3 linked regions of the Callithrix jacchus genome follow. The protein of the gene in region 1 purifies or fractionates together with the protein of each later gene. This does not show direct contact. Links are inferred from orthologs where the notes say so. Each region holds a gene or a part of one and is shown on either strand. Other genes may lie near its edges. The genes, in order: CD2BP2, USP39 and EAPP.

Region 1 (3,600 bases):
CCTCCCGAGTAGCTGGGACTAGAGGCGTATGCCGCCACGCCCGGCTAATTTTTTTGTAGTTTAGGAGAGACGAGGTTTCTTTTCTTTTCTTTTTTCTTTTGAGACGGAGTTTCGCTCTTGTTACCCAGGCTGGAGTGCAGTGGCGCGATCTTGGCTCACCGCAACCTCCGCCTCCTGGGTTCAAGCAATTCTCCCGCCTCAGCCTCCCGAGTAGCTGGGACTACAGCCGCGCACCACCATGCCCAGCTAATTTTTTGTGTATTTTTAGTAGAGACGGGGTTTCACCATGTTGACCAGGATGGTCTCGATCTCTTGACCTCGTGATCCACCCGCCTCGGCCTCCCAAAGTGCTGGGATTACAGGCGTGAGCCACGGCGCCCGGCCGAAGGCAGGATTTCTAGCGACACGGTAGGGGCGCAGAACCCTTCCCTGGGGGAAGGGTTACTCGAACCCAGGACAGGAAGACAAGAAAGCAATCCAGTGGCTCTGCTCAGACTTTGCTCCTAAATCCTGACACTGAGCGACCCTTTAAGTAGATGCGCTCCACTTTTTCTCCAGAGCCTCTACGGCTCAATGAGAGAATCAAAGCTACTTCCGGCCATTTCTCACGCCGGGTTAGAGTCTAGGAATTCTTAAGTCTCCTCTTTTCGCCACTTTCCTCCCACGCGACTGACGTCACTTCTGGCGTAAGAAAGGGTGGAGGTGTCTTCCCTCGCTCATCGCGTACTTCCGCCCGCTCTTCCAGTTGGTCCTCTGGCCGGAGTGAAGCCACTTCCGGCCTCCCCGGCGCATTCCTCAGTCCTCTTCCGGGTGATGGCGGCCGGGTGCCCCGGATGTAGCCCTGGCGCAAGCATCTCTTCTTTGCCGCCTCACCTCCAGCGGATCCCCAGGTGAGCGCGCGAGCGTGGGACCATCCGAATCCCCGTGGCCCTCTACTTTGTACGCAGCCCGGGACAGGTGGAGCTCACCACACGGAATTGGGAGTTCGGAGCAGGGAGGAACGGGGCGGCGAGGGCGCCAGGTCCTGGGTCCGCCCGGGCCCCGCGAGCTCCGAGAGAGCCTGGGTAGGAGGCGGGGGTCAGCCCGTCGAGCCTGGTGGTACCCAGACTGCGGGGGCTGGGTTTGGAGGTGGTCACATGGTGGAGCCTGTCTCCTTTTGGCCGGGGTCGGGGGATCCAGAGGGATTGCCCCTCCGTCCCCGCCCCATTTAATTCGAGGATGCCAGACCGAGTACCAGAGGCCTTCTGGCTTCCAGCTCCCTTTCCGCCCCTGCTTTTGTGCTCCCTTCCCTCTCAAACTGTACTTGTCACCAAGAAAAATGTTTGCTGTGCCGGGAATCCTCTGGCGGCGAGTCCCCTCCTCACCCCGTTCTCTTCCTCTGCATACTTTCCTCAGCTTGAGGAACACCTTCTCTGCCCTGTCATGCCAAAGAGGAAAGTGACCTTCCAAGGCGTGGGAGATGAAGAGGACGAGGATGATATCAGTGTCCCCAAGAAGAAGGTGAGGGGACCAAACTTCTTTGTGTGGGGGGAAAGAGAGGAGCTAGAAGCCTGAGGAGGAAGAAAGTTGGGAGGGGCAAGGCGGGCTGGCAGAGAAAAGCCTAGTTTTTCCAGGTTCACTGAGGAATGGATTGGGAGCATCTTCAGTGTGGGTCCTGAAATATTTGGGGAAGTAGGGCTGGGCACGGTGGCCCACGCTTGTAATCCCAGCACTTTGGAAGGCCAAGGCAGGCAGATCACCTGAGGTCGGGAGTTGAAGACCAGCCTGGCTAACCTGGTGAAACCCCATTTCTACTAAAAGTACTAAAAATTAGCCGGGTGGTGGTGGGCACCTGTCCCAATTAGTTGGGAGGCTGATGTGGGGGAATCCCTTGAACACAGGAGCCGGAGGTTGCAGTGAGCTGAGATCAGCCATTGCACTCCAGCTTGGGCAACAAGAGTGAACTCTGTCTCAAAGAAAAAAAAAAAAAGAAATATCTAGGGAAGCAGTTGAGATCCTGAAATATTTGGGGAGTATTTGGGTCCAGATCTGGCAGTATTTGGGGAGGTAGCCAGTAACCTGCATTTCTTGACTTCCTGGCTCCTGCTCACAGCTGGTGGACCCTGTGGCTGGGTCAGGGGGTCCTGGGAGCCGCTTCAAAGGCAAACACTCTTTGGACAGCGATGAGGAGGATGATGACGATGGGGGGTCCAGCAAATATGACATCTTGTCCTCAGAGGATGTAGAAGGTGAGCTGTACTCAAGAATACACTCTACTGAAGGAAAAAGTAGAGACCTCTGGTGGTGTGAGGTGAGGGAGGCCCCGGTCTCTTTTTTTTCATCCCCAGCAAAGGACACCCCTGTCTTTGGTGCAGGTCAGGAGGCAGCCACACTCCCCAGCGAGGGGGGTGTGCGGATCACACCTTTTAACCTGCAGGAGGAGATGGAGGAAGGCCATTTCGATGCCGATGGCAACTACTTCCTGAACCGGGATGCTCAGATCCGAGACAGCTGGCTGGACAACATTGACTGGGTGTGGCCAAGGGGCTGGCATGGCTGGGGCCAGGGAGTGGCAGAGCTGCTGCCTGCTCCCGTGGCAGTTTGTGGGAAATCACTCCCCTTCTTCCCATTACAGGTGAAGATCCGGGAGCGGCCACCTGGCCAGCGCCAGACCTCAGACTCGGAGGAGGAGGATGGCTTGGGCCAGACCCCAATGAGTGCCCAAGCTCTCTTGGAGGGACTTTTGGAGCTCCTGTTGCCTAGAGAAACAGTGGCTGGGGCACTGAGGCGTCTGGGGGCCCGAGGAGGAGGCAAAGGGAGCAGCAAGGGGCCCGGACGACCCAATTCCCCACAGCGCCTGGACCGGCTCTCTGGGTTGGCCGACCAGATGGTGGCCCGGGGCAACCTTGGCGTGTACCAGGAAACTCGGGAACGGTTGGCCATGAGGCTGAAGGGTTTGGGGTGCCAGACCCTGGGACCCCACAATCCCACACCCCCACCCTCCCTGGACATGTTTGCTGAGGAAGTGGCGGAGGGGGAACTGGAGACCCCAACCCCTACCCAGAAAGGAGGTGAGCTTGGAGGACACAGGAGGAGGCACTGGGCAGGAGGCAGACACTGGAGGCCAAATGGCTTTGCCTGTTATTTTAGAAGCAGAGTCGCCGGGAGATGGTCTGGTGGATGTGATGTGGGAATATAAGTGGGAGAACACAGGGGATGCCGAGCTGTATGGACCCTTCACCAGCGCCCAGATGCAGGTGAGCCGCTTTCTTCCTCCTTCTGCCTTGTCCCTGCTTCCCCAACTCCTGTCAGTCCTTCCCCAGCTCTGCCCTCTCCTTGCAGACCTGGGTGAGCGAAGGCTACTTCCCGGACGGTGTTTATTGCCGGAAGTTGGACCCCCCTGGTGGTCAGTTCTACAACTCCAAACGCATTGACTTTGACCTCTATACCTGAGCCTGCTGGGGGCCCAGTTTGGTGGGCCCTTCTTTCCTGGACTTTGTGGAGGAGACCCCCAAGTGTCTCAGGCAGTGAGGAAATTGGAGGCCATTTTTCAGTCAATTTCCCTTTTCCAATAAAAGCCTTTAGTTGTGTATTAGGGCCTTCGCTGTGCTGATGGCCGGA
Region 2 (3,723 bases), on another chromosome or scaffold:
AGCCCAGGCTGGAGTGCAGTAGTGGATCAGAGCTCACTGTAGCCACAAACTCCTGGGTTAAAGTGATACATTTTTCTTTTGTGAAAAGATTTATTCATCCTTTTTATGTCCTCTCCACCTCCAGAATGCTGTTGGGGTCCTTTTACCTTAGTCTGACTTGTAACTTTCCCTTTAGAAAAAGTGAATGCAGTGGGAAGTCTTGAACTGGTTACAAACACTAATGAGAAAGATACTTTTGGTTATTAGGTGTCTGGTGGAGACACCTCAACACTGCTTTGGAGCATGGCAGGTGGAGGTGAGGAATAATCAGTGTCTCCGAATAATCAGTGTCCCCCAATAATCGGTATATATATTGTTGTGAACTGTTTTCTGAAGGCTGTTGTGTGGTATCATTGAACATCACAGAGCCAACACTGCTTCATTTGAGTGCCTTCCTACATGTCCATCCTATTGTTTATTTTTTTCTGTTTTGTTTTGTTTCCTTAGAAGTGTGCTGGACTTTGACTTTGAGAAACTGTGTTCTATCTCCCTCTCACATATCAATGCTTACGCCTGTCTGGTGTGTGGCAAGTACTTTCAAGGTAATGAGTGTTAAAAATTACAAACTTGTTAAGCTTTTAGAGCTAGCTGCAGATCTGTTCCAGAGGGACTTTTTTTTTTTTTTTTTTAAAGAAAGTAAGCTGTTCTCAGGAATTATATCTAATAATTTCAATTTGTTCCCAGGAAATTGAAATATTCTTAGAAAACGAACAAGAGGTTCTCTGACTGGTCAGAGCCTGGATATATCTGAAAGGGAGAAAGGGCAAATCATATGACATCAAAGACTGGATTCTTGATTCTAATATATGTATTTTCTTATTTTTAATTTTTTATTATTTTGAGACAGAGTCTCACCCTGTCACCCAGGTTGGAGTGCAGTGGTGCAGTCTTGCCAGCTAATTTTTGTTTAAATTTACATGGAGTCTTGCTTTGTCACCCAGTCTGCAGTGCAGTGACATGATCTTGGCTTACTGCAACCCCTGCCTTCTGGGATCAAGCAGTTCTCCTGCCTCAGCCTCCCAATTAGCTGGGATTACAGGCATACCACCATACCTGGCTAATTTTATATTTTTAGTAGAGACAGGGCTTCACCATGTTGGCCAGGCTGGTCTCAATCTCCCAACTTCAGGTGATCTACCTTGGCCTCCCAAAGTGCTGGGATTACAGGCATGAGCCACCGTGCCCAGCCAATTTTTTATTTTTATTTTTGACATAGAGTCTCCCTCTGTCACCCAGGCTGGTGTGCAGTGGCATGATCTAGGCTCACTGCAACCTCTGCCTTCTGGGTTCAGTCTGTTCTCCTGCCTTAGCTTCCTGAGTACTGGGATTACAGGTGTGTACCATCACACCCAGCTAATTTTTTTTTTTTGTACTTTTAGTAGAGATAGGGTTTTATCATGTTGGTCAGGCTGGTCTCGAACTCCTGACCTCGTGATCTGCCTTCCTCGGCCTCCCAAAGTGCTGGTGTTATAGGTGTGAGCCACTGTACCCGGCCAATTTTTTTTTTCAATTTTATTTATTTATATTTTGGGCTGGAGTTTCGCTCTGTTGCCCAGGCTCACTTGCATCACTGAGTTCAAGTGATTCTCCTGCCTCAACCTCCCGAGCAGCTGGGACTACAGGCATGCACCACCACGCCACTACACCTGGCTAATTTTTGTATTTTTTAGTAGAAATGGGGTTTTACCATATTGGCCAGGCTAGTCTTGATCTCCTGACCTCAAGTGATCCACACTCATCAGCCTCCCAAAGTGCTGAGATTACAGGCGTAAGCCACTGCACCGGGCCACATTTTTTTTTTTAAAAGATGGGATTTTTCTCTGTTGCCCAGGCTAGTCTCAAAACTCCTGAACTCAAGCAGTCTGCACTTTGGGGCCTCCCAAAGTGCTGGGATTTATAGGTGTGAGCCACTGCACCACGCCATCTGGCTATTTTATTTTATTTTATTTTGTAGTGACAAGGCTTTATTATATTACCCAGGCTGCCCTTTTATTTTTTAATCCTTTATCTCCATGGACTTTTTTTTCCCCATTCTTTTCTGAAAATGCATAATTTCAACTTATTCAGACCAAGCAGATGCCACGTACATAGTATAGTGGAGGGTTCAAATGAGGTAAAAACATCCTGACATGGTGGCTCGCACCTGTAATCCTAGTATTTTGGGAGGCCAAGGCAGGAGGTTTGCTTAAAGCCAAGAGTTCAAGACCCACCTGGCTAAAGTAACAAGACCCTGTCTCAAATAAAAAAGAGATAAAAACTATATTCTTTGCTGTTATAAGTAGCTTATAAGAAGTCAAGGTTGACAATGTAAAACAACCAGCAAGTTCTGTTAGAACTTAAAGATTCTGCTAGACTGTGGCAGTGAATAAAAATAAAGGCAATAGGAGTTGAAATATGTAAAAGTCAGTGTTAGCCGGAGTGTTTATATTGAGTTCATGGAGGAGTTGAGGTGGGACTTGAATTGGCAGGACATAGGATTTTGAATGGTTAAGGGAGAGATTCTAGAAAGGAGTAGCAACATGAAAAAAGTTACATAGATGCAGCATTGTCCTGAATATGGATAGTTGGAAATTCAGGACTGAGTGATGATGGACTGTCATAGGATATGTATGTATTTGTGTATATGTGTATTTATTCACACATATATGCATGGCTATTTCTGATTTCATATATATAGGAAACTATATATAATATATATATAGGTTATATATATTAGGTTATATACATATTATATGTGAAATAGTGAAATTTGTTTCCTCAGTCAATGTCTTACACCATCTAGGGAATGAAGTAACTAATGTGCCAGTTTTTCTTGCTCATTTTTTTATAAGAGAAGTTCATGTGGAGGATTCATTTTATGAATGGCATAATATTTGTTTTTTGCGGATGCTAACATGTTCTGGTAGAAAATAATGAAAGGAAAAGCAAACCTGATCGGTGCCTTCTAGGATCTGCCCTTCTGTTACAGCCTTTCCCCTTTCCCTACAGGCCGCGGTTTGAAGTCTCATGCCTACATTCACAGTGTCCAGTTTAGCCACCATGTTTTCCTCAACCTCCATACCCTCAAGTTTTACTGCCTTCCAGACAACTATGAGATCATCGATTCCTCATTGGAGGATATCACGGTGTGTGTCTAAGAGGGTTGGTTTGGGGTCCATTCTTTATGAGCCATCCCAGGGCTCCCAGGGGACTGCTCCACCTGAGGACAGGGAAGAATCTCAGTCCTTTTGGGCCTTGAGAGATTGCTTTCCCTTTTGGAAGGAACCAGGGAAACTGATTGTCATTTCTGCCTTTAACATTGAGGACTAGGACTGAAGAAATATGGCTGTATTCTGATAGGGTTGAAAGTGTTTTTGTGAAATGAATTATTCTTCCACACTTTGAAGTAGGGATATTAATTGGGTGTGGTGTAGGACAGTAGTTACCAAGCTGCACACCAGCTCCTGGCTGCTTTTATTTTATGATGTGGCCAGAGCATCCAGCCACAGATGTATCATCTGTGGGCTCTAGTTTGTGACCTGGACCAAGAGATACTCATTGTACTGAACATGGAAAGTCCTCTTGGGCTTTGATTAGTGTTGGGCTTTTGATTATTATTTTTCTTTTCAGCATGTGGGGAATATTCATGGTGCCAAATGCTCTGTTTTTGTTTTTGAGATGGGGTCTCACTCTGTTGCCCAGACA
Region 3 (3,723 bases), on another chromosome or scaffold:
TTGGCACTAGATGGCACTTGAAGCCCTGGTTTGCCTCAGTTCAAGTAAACACTGAGAGTGCTGCCTGTCTCAAATGGGGGAGGTCCCAAAGAGGATAAGGATATCCCAGTAGGCTGGGAAGGCTGGCTAGGGGTTCACACCTCCACCCTGTGGAACAAACCTCCTATAGTGTGGTGCTGCTGAACAGACACTCTGTTGGCATTTCCTTTGGCAGAGTTAGAGTGGAGTTTCCAGGGTTGCAGATGTAGTCCTACCTACCCCTACCCTCTTTGTCTCTGGCCATCCTCAGTAATATTTTTCCCTTCAGGTACTCTCAGTTCTTCCTATGGGTTGAGGCAGGGACAGATCTCTCACCAGAGAACTCAAGAATGGAAAGAAGCTGTTTGTTCACTTCAATCTCAGTTTTTCTCATGTAAAGATCATGAGCTCAGAGGAATTTTTCTGCTCACTTGGTGCCAGGCAGCTTGTGGAGAAGAATGAGCAGATACAGAAGTCCAATTCTCTTACTGTCTGCTTTAAATTTTTTTCACTTCTTTGTGGCCCTAGAAACTGTCTCCTTATATTTAAGATCTGGGATACTGGTGGTGATAGCTTCAGTGCTATATAGTTGGTTTTGGTTTTCTGCAGGGGGAAGGAAAGCCAGTTTGCTTCCATGCTGCTATTTTGCACTAGAAAAGATACTCTTTTTTTTGAGAGATGGGGATCTCACCTTTGTTTAGTTGCCCAGGCTGCAGTGATGGTCCAGCCCACTGCAACCGTGAACTCCTGGGCTCAAGCCATCCTCTCACCTCAGCCTATTAAGTAGCTGGGTCTACAGTCTTCATCACTATACTCTGCTAATTTTTGGTTTTTTATTTTTTGTAAAGACCAGGTATCACTGTGTTGCCTAGGCTGGCCTCAAACTCCTGGGCTCAAGGGATCGCCTTAGCCTCCCATAGTACTGGGATGAAAGGCATGAGTCACTGTGCCCAGCTTAAAAAGTATAAAAGCTACTTTTTTTTGTCTAAAACAGGGTCTCACTCTGTCACCAGGGTGGAGTGCAGTGGTGCGATCTAGGCTCACTGCAACCTCTATCTCCCAGGTGCAAGTGATTCTCCTGCCTCAGCCTCCTGAGCAGCAGAGGCACGTGTCATCACGCCCAGCTAATTTTTTGTGTTTTTAGTAGAGACAGGGTTTCACCATGTTGGCCAGGATGGTCTCGATTTCTTGACCTCATGATCCACCTACCTCAGCCTCCCAAAGTGCTGGGGTTACAGGCGTGAGCCACTTGCACCCAGCATAAAAGCTACTCTTTTTTTTTTTTTTTTCTTTTTCTTTTTAAAGACAGGGTTTCACTATGTTGGTCAGGCTGGTCTTGAACTCCCAACCTCAGGTGATCTGCCTGCCTTGGCCTCCAAAGTGCTTGGATTACAGGCGTGAGCCACCACACCTGACCTTTTTTTTTTTTTTTTTTTTTTTTAATAGAGACGGGGTTTCACCTTGTTGGTCAGGGTGTTTTCGAACTCCTGACCGCAGGTGATCCACCCACCTCGGCCTCCCAAAGTGCTGGGATTACAGGTGTAAGCCACCATGCCTGGCCAAAGCTACTCTTAATAGAATTATATATAACCAAAATTCATTGTATAAAGATTAGTCACATAGTACCAAGAATATAAATACAGAACCTTATCAGAATTCCTGAGTACCACAAAAGTCTATTTCTGGGCTGGGCGCGGTAGCTCACACCCATAATCCTAGCACTCTGGGAGGCCAAGGTGGGCAGATCACTTGAGATCAGGAGTTCAAGACCAGCCTGGCCAACATGGTGAGACCCCTGTCTCTACCAAAAATTCAAAAACTAACTAGGTGTTGTGGCAGCTGCCTATAATTCCAGCTACTTGGGAGGCTGAGGCAGGAGACTCACCTGAACCCACAAGGCAGAGGTTGCAGTGAGGTAAGATTACACCACTGCACTCCAACTTGGGCAACATCTCCAAAAAACAGGTCTGTTTCTGATTTAAACAAAGTGTGTGTGTGTGTCTTTCATCCATTACCTTTGGCAATCAAGGCACAGTGTGGTCATGCAGGCAGGACAATTCAAGACAGCGTCACTATTTGGAACAGGCTGTTGTTGATGTGACCTCTGTCGTCCCAAACCATGGTAACTAGAACAGAAGAAGAAAGTGAAAGAAACATATATTAAAACCAGATCTTGGTTTCTAGTGTCATTTTCCAATAAAAAGAACGAGTCCTCTTCAGAGAAATGGCTAATTCTAGGAATCAGGAATGCAAAATGAACCTGGAGCATCTTTTAGTGCCAGAAAGGAAGGACGTATTCAAGAAAACAAAAACCAAACAATGAGGTGGTTATGACAAAGGGAAACAGGAGCCAACTAAGAGTCACCAACTGCCAAAGCTGAAACAAACTGAGCAACAAAATAAAGTAGGATTGGATTACAACCCAAAGTATAAAATAAATACCCAAGAGTCCATGCTAGCATAAATGTATTGAATAAATAAATCAATGGGGGAGAACAAATAAATCCCCACACAGAATTCTAAATGATCTATAAAGATGCTCTTCTCTCACAGTGGTGGAGTGTAACTCCCTAGTCCTTAAGTCTGGGTTGGACACAGTGACTTCCTTCCAAAGAGCACAGTATATGGTAGCGGGGTAAAAGACTAACTTCACAGAAGAGAAAGCTAACACTGGTTAGCAAGGTGATCAAGGCCAACATCAACACACAAAACTCATGCTGGTAGTATGTACTCTTAAAATAATGTGATGAAAATGGCTCTGTACTTCTGTGTTCTTCCTCATAAAAATCCATAATCTCATCCTAATTATGAGAAAAAACATCAGACAAATTCCCACAGAGGAGCCTCCTACATACACCTGACTAGTGCTCCTCAAAGTACATAAAGGCACTGAAAACAAGGGAAGTCTAAGAAACAGACGTAGTCAAGAAAAGCCTGTGGAGACATAACTAAACGTAATGTAGTATTCTACATGGGATCCGCAAACAGAAAACGAACATTACATAAAAACTAAGGAATTTTTTTTAAATTATGGACTTTGATTAACAATAATGTATCAATATTAGTCCATTGTGACAAATGTACCAAAAATAAAAGTTCATGAACTTTTTAAAAACAGTACAGCTACATTTAAAAAAGAAGCATACAGCCAGACATGGTGGCACACATCTGTAATCCCAGGCCAAGGTAGGCAGATCACTTGAGCCTAGGAGTTTGAGACCAGCCTAGGCAACATGGTGAAATCCTGTCTCTATAAAAAAAATTTTTTTAAATAAAATAAAAATAAAAATAAACAATCACACACCGGGCATGGTGGCTCACGCTTATAATCCCAGACCTTAAGGAGGCCAAGGCAGGATGGGATTGCTTGAGCCCAAGAATTTAAGACCAGCCTGGGCAACATAGCAAGACCTCGTGTCTATTAAAAATTAAATTAGAGGCCAGACACAGTGGCTCACCCCTGTAATCCCAACACTTTGGGAGGCCGAGGCGGGTGGATAACCTGAGGTCAGGAGTTTGAGACTAGCCTGACCAAAATAGTGAAACCCCGTCTCTACTAAAAACACAGGCCCAGCCGCATCTCAATTTTTAAAGATTGAATTTGTAAGTAGTTTAAATAAAAAAAATCATTTGAGTGCTAAATCCACAAAAACTTTTTTTGAGATAGGGTTTCACTCTGCCACTCAGGCTGGAGTACAGTGGCGT

Evidence for each region.
Region 2: the proteins of CD2BP2 (region 1) and USP39 purify together in Homo sapiens (affinity purification with mass spectrometry; 5 studies listed by BioGRID and IntAct, with this or other methods). This does not show direct contact. The link is inferred for Callithrix jacchus from reciprocal best matches to the Homo sapiens genes CD2BP2 and USP39.
Region 3: the proteins of CD2BP2 (region 1) and EAPP purify together in Homo sapiens (affinity purification with mass spectrometry; 3 studies listed by BioGRID and IntAct, counting the BioPlex papers as one, with this or other methods). This does not show direct contact. The link is inferred for Callithrix jacchus from reciprocal best matches to the Homo sapiens genes CD2BP2 and EAPP.

What each region holds. Positions count from the first base shown.
Region 1 is NC_133513.1:29,873,100-29,876,699, reverse strand, and holds the start of CD2BP2 (CD2 antigen cytoplasmic tail-binding protein 2), read left to right. Parts: upstream 1-822; 5' UTR 823-957; exon of another isoform or gene 958-1,064; intron 1,065-1,395; 5' UTR 1,396-1,422; coding exon 1,423-1,500; intron 1,501-2,092; coding exon 2,093-2,228; intron 2,229-2,354; coding exon 2,355-2,512; intron 2,513-2,614; coding exon 2,615-3,050; intron 3,051-3,129; coding exon 3,130-3,236; intron 3,237-3,321; coding exon 3,322-3,432; 3' UTR 3,433-3,600. UniProt on the Homo sapiens protein: Involved in pre-mRNA splicing as component of the U5 snRNP complex that is involved in spliceosome assembly.
Region 2 is NC_133515.1:27,400,794-27,404,516, reverse strand, and holds part of USP39 (ubiquitin carboxyl-terminal hydrolase 39), read left to right. Parts: intron 1-486; coding exon 487-581; intron 582-3,027; coding exon 3,028-3,164; intron 3,165-3,723.
Region 3 is NC_133509.1:69,030,286-69,034,008, forward strand, and holds part of EAPP (E2F-associated phosphoprotein), read right to left. Parts: intron 2,145-3,723; coding exon 2,034-2,144; intron 1-2,033. UniProt on the Homo sapiens protein: May play an important role in the fine-tuning of both major E2F1 activities, the regulation of the cell-cycle and the induction of apoptosis. Promotes S-phase entry, and inhibits p14(ARP) expression.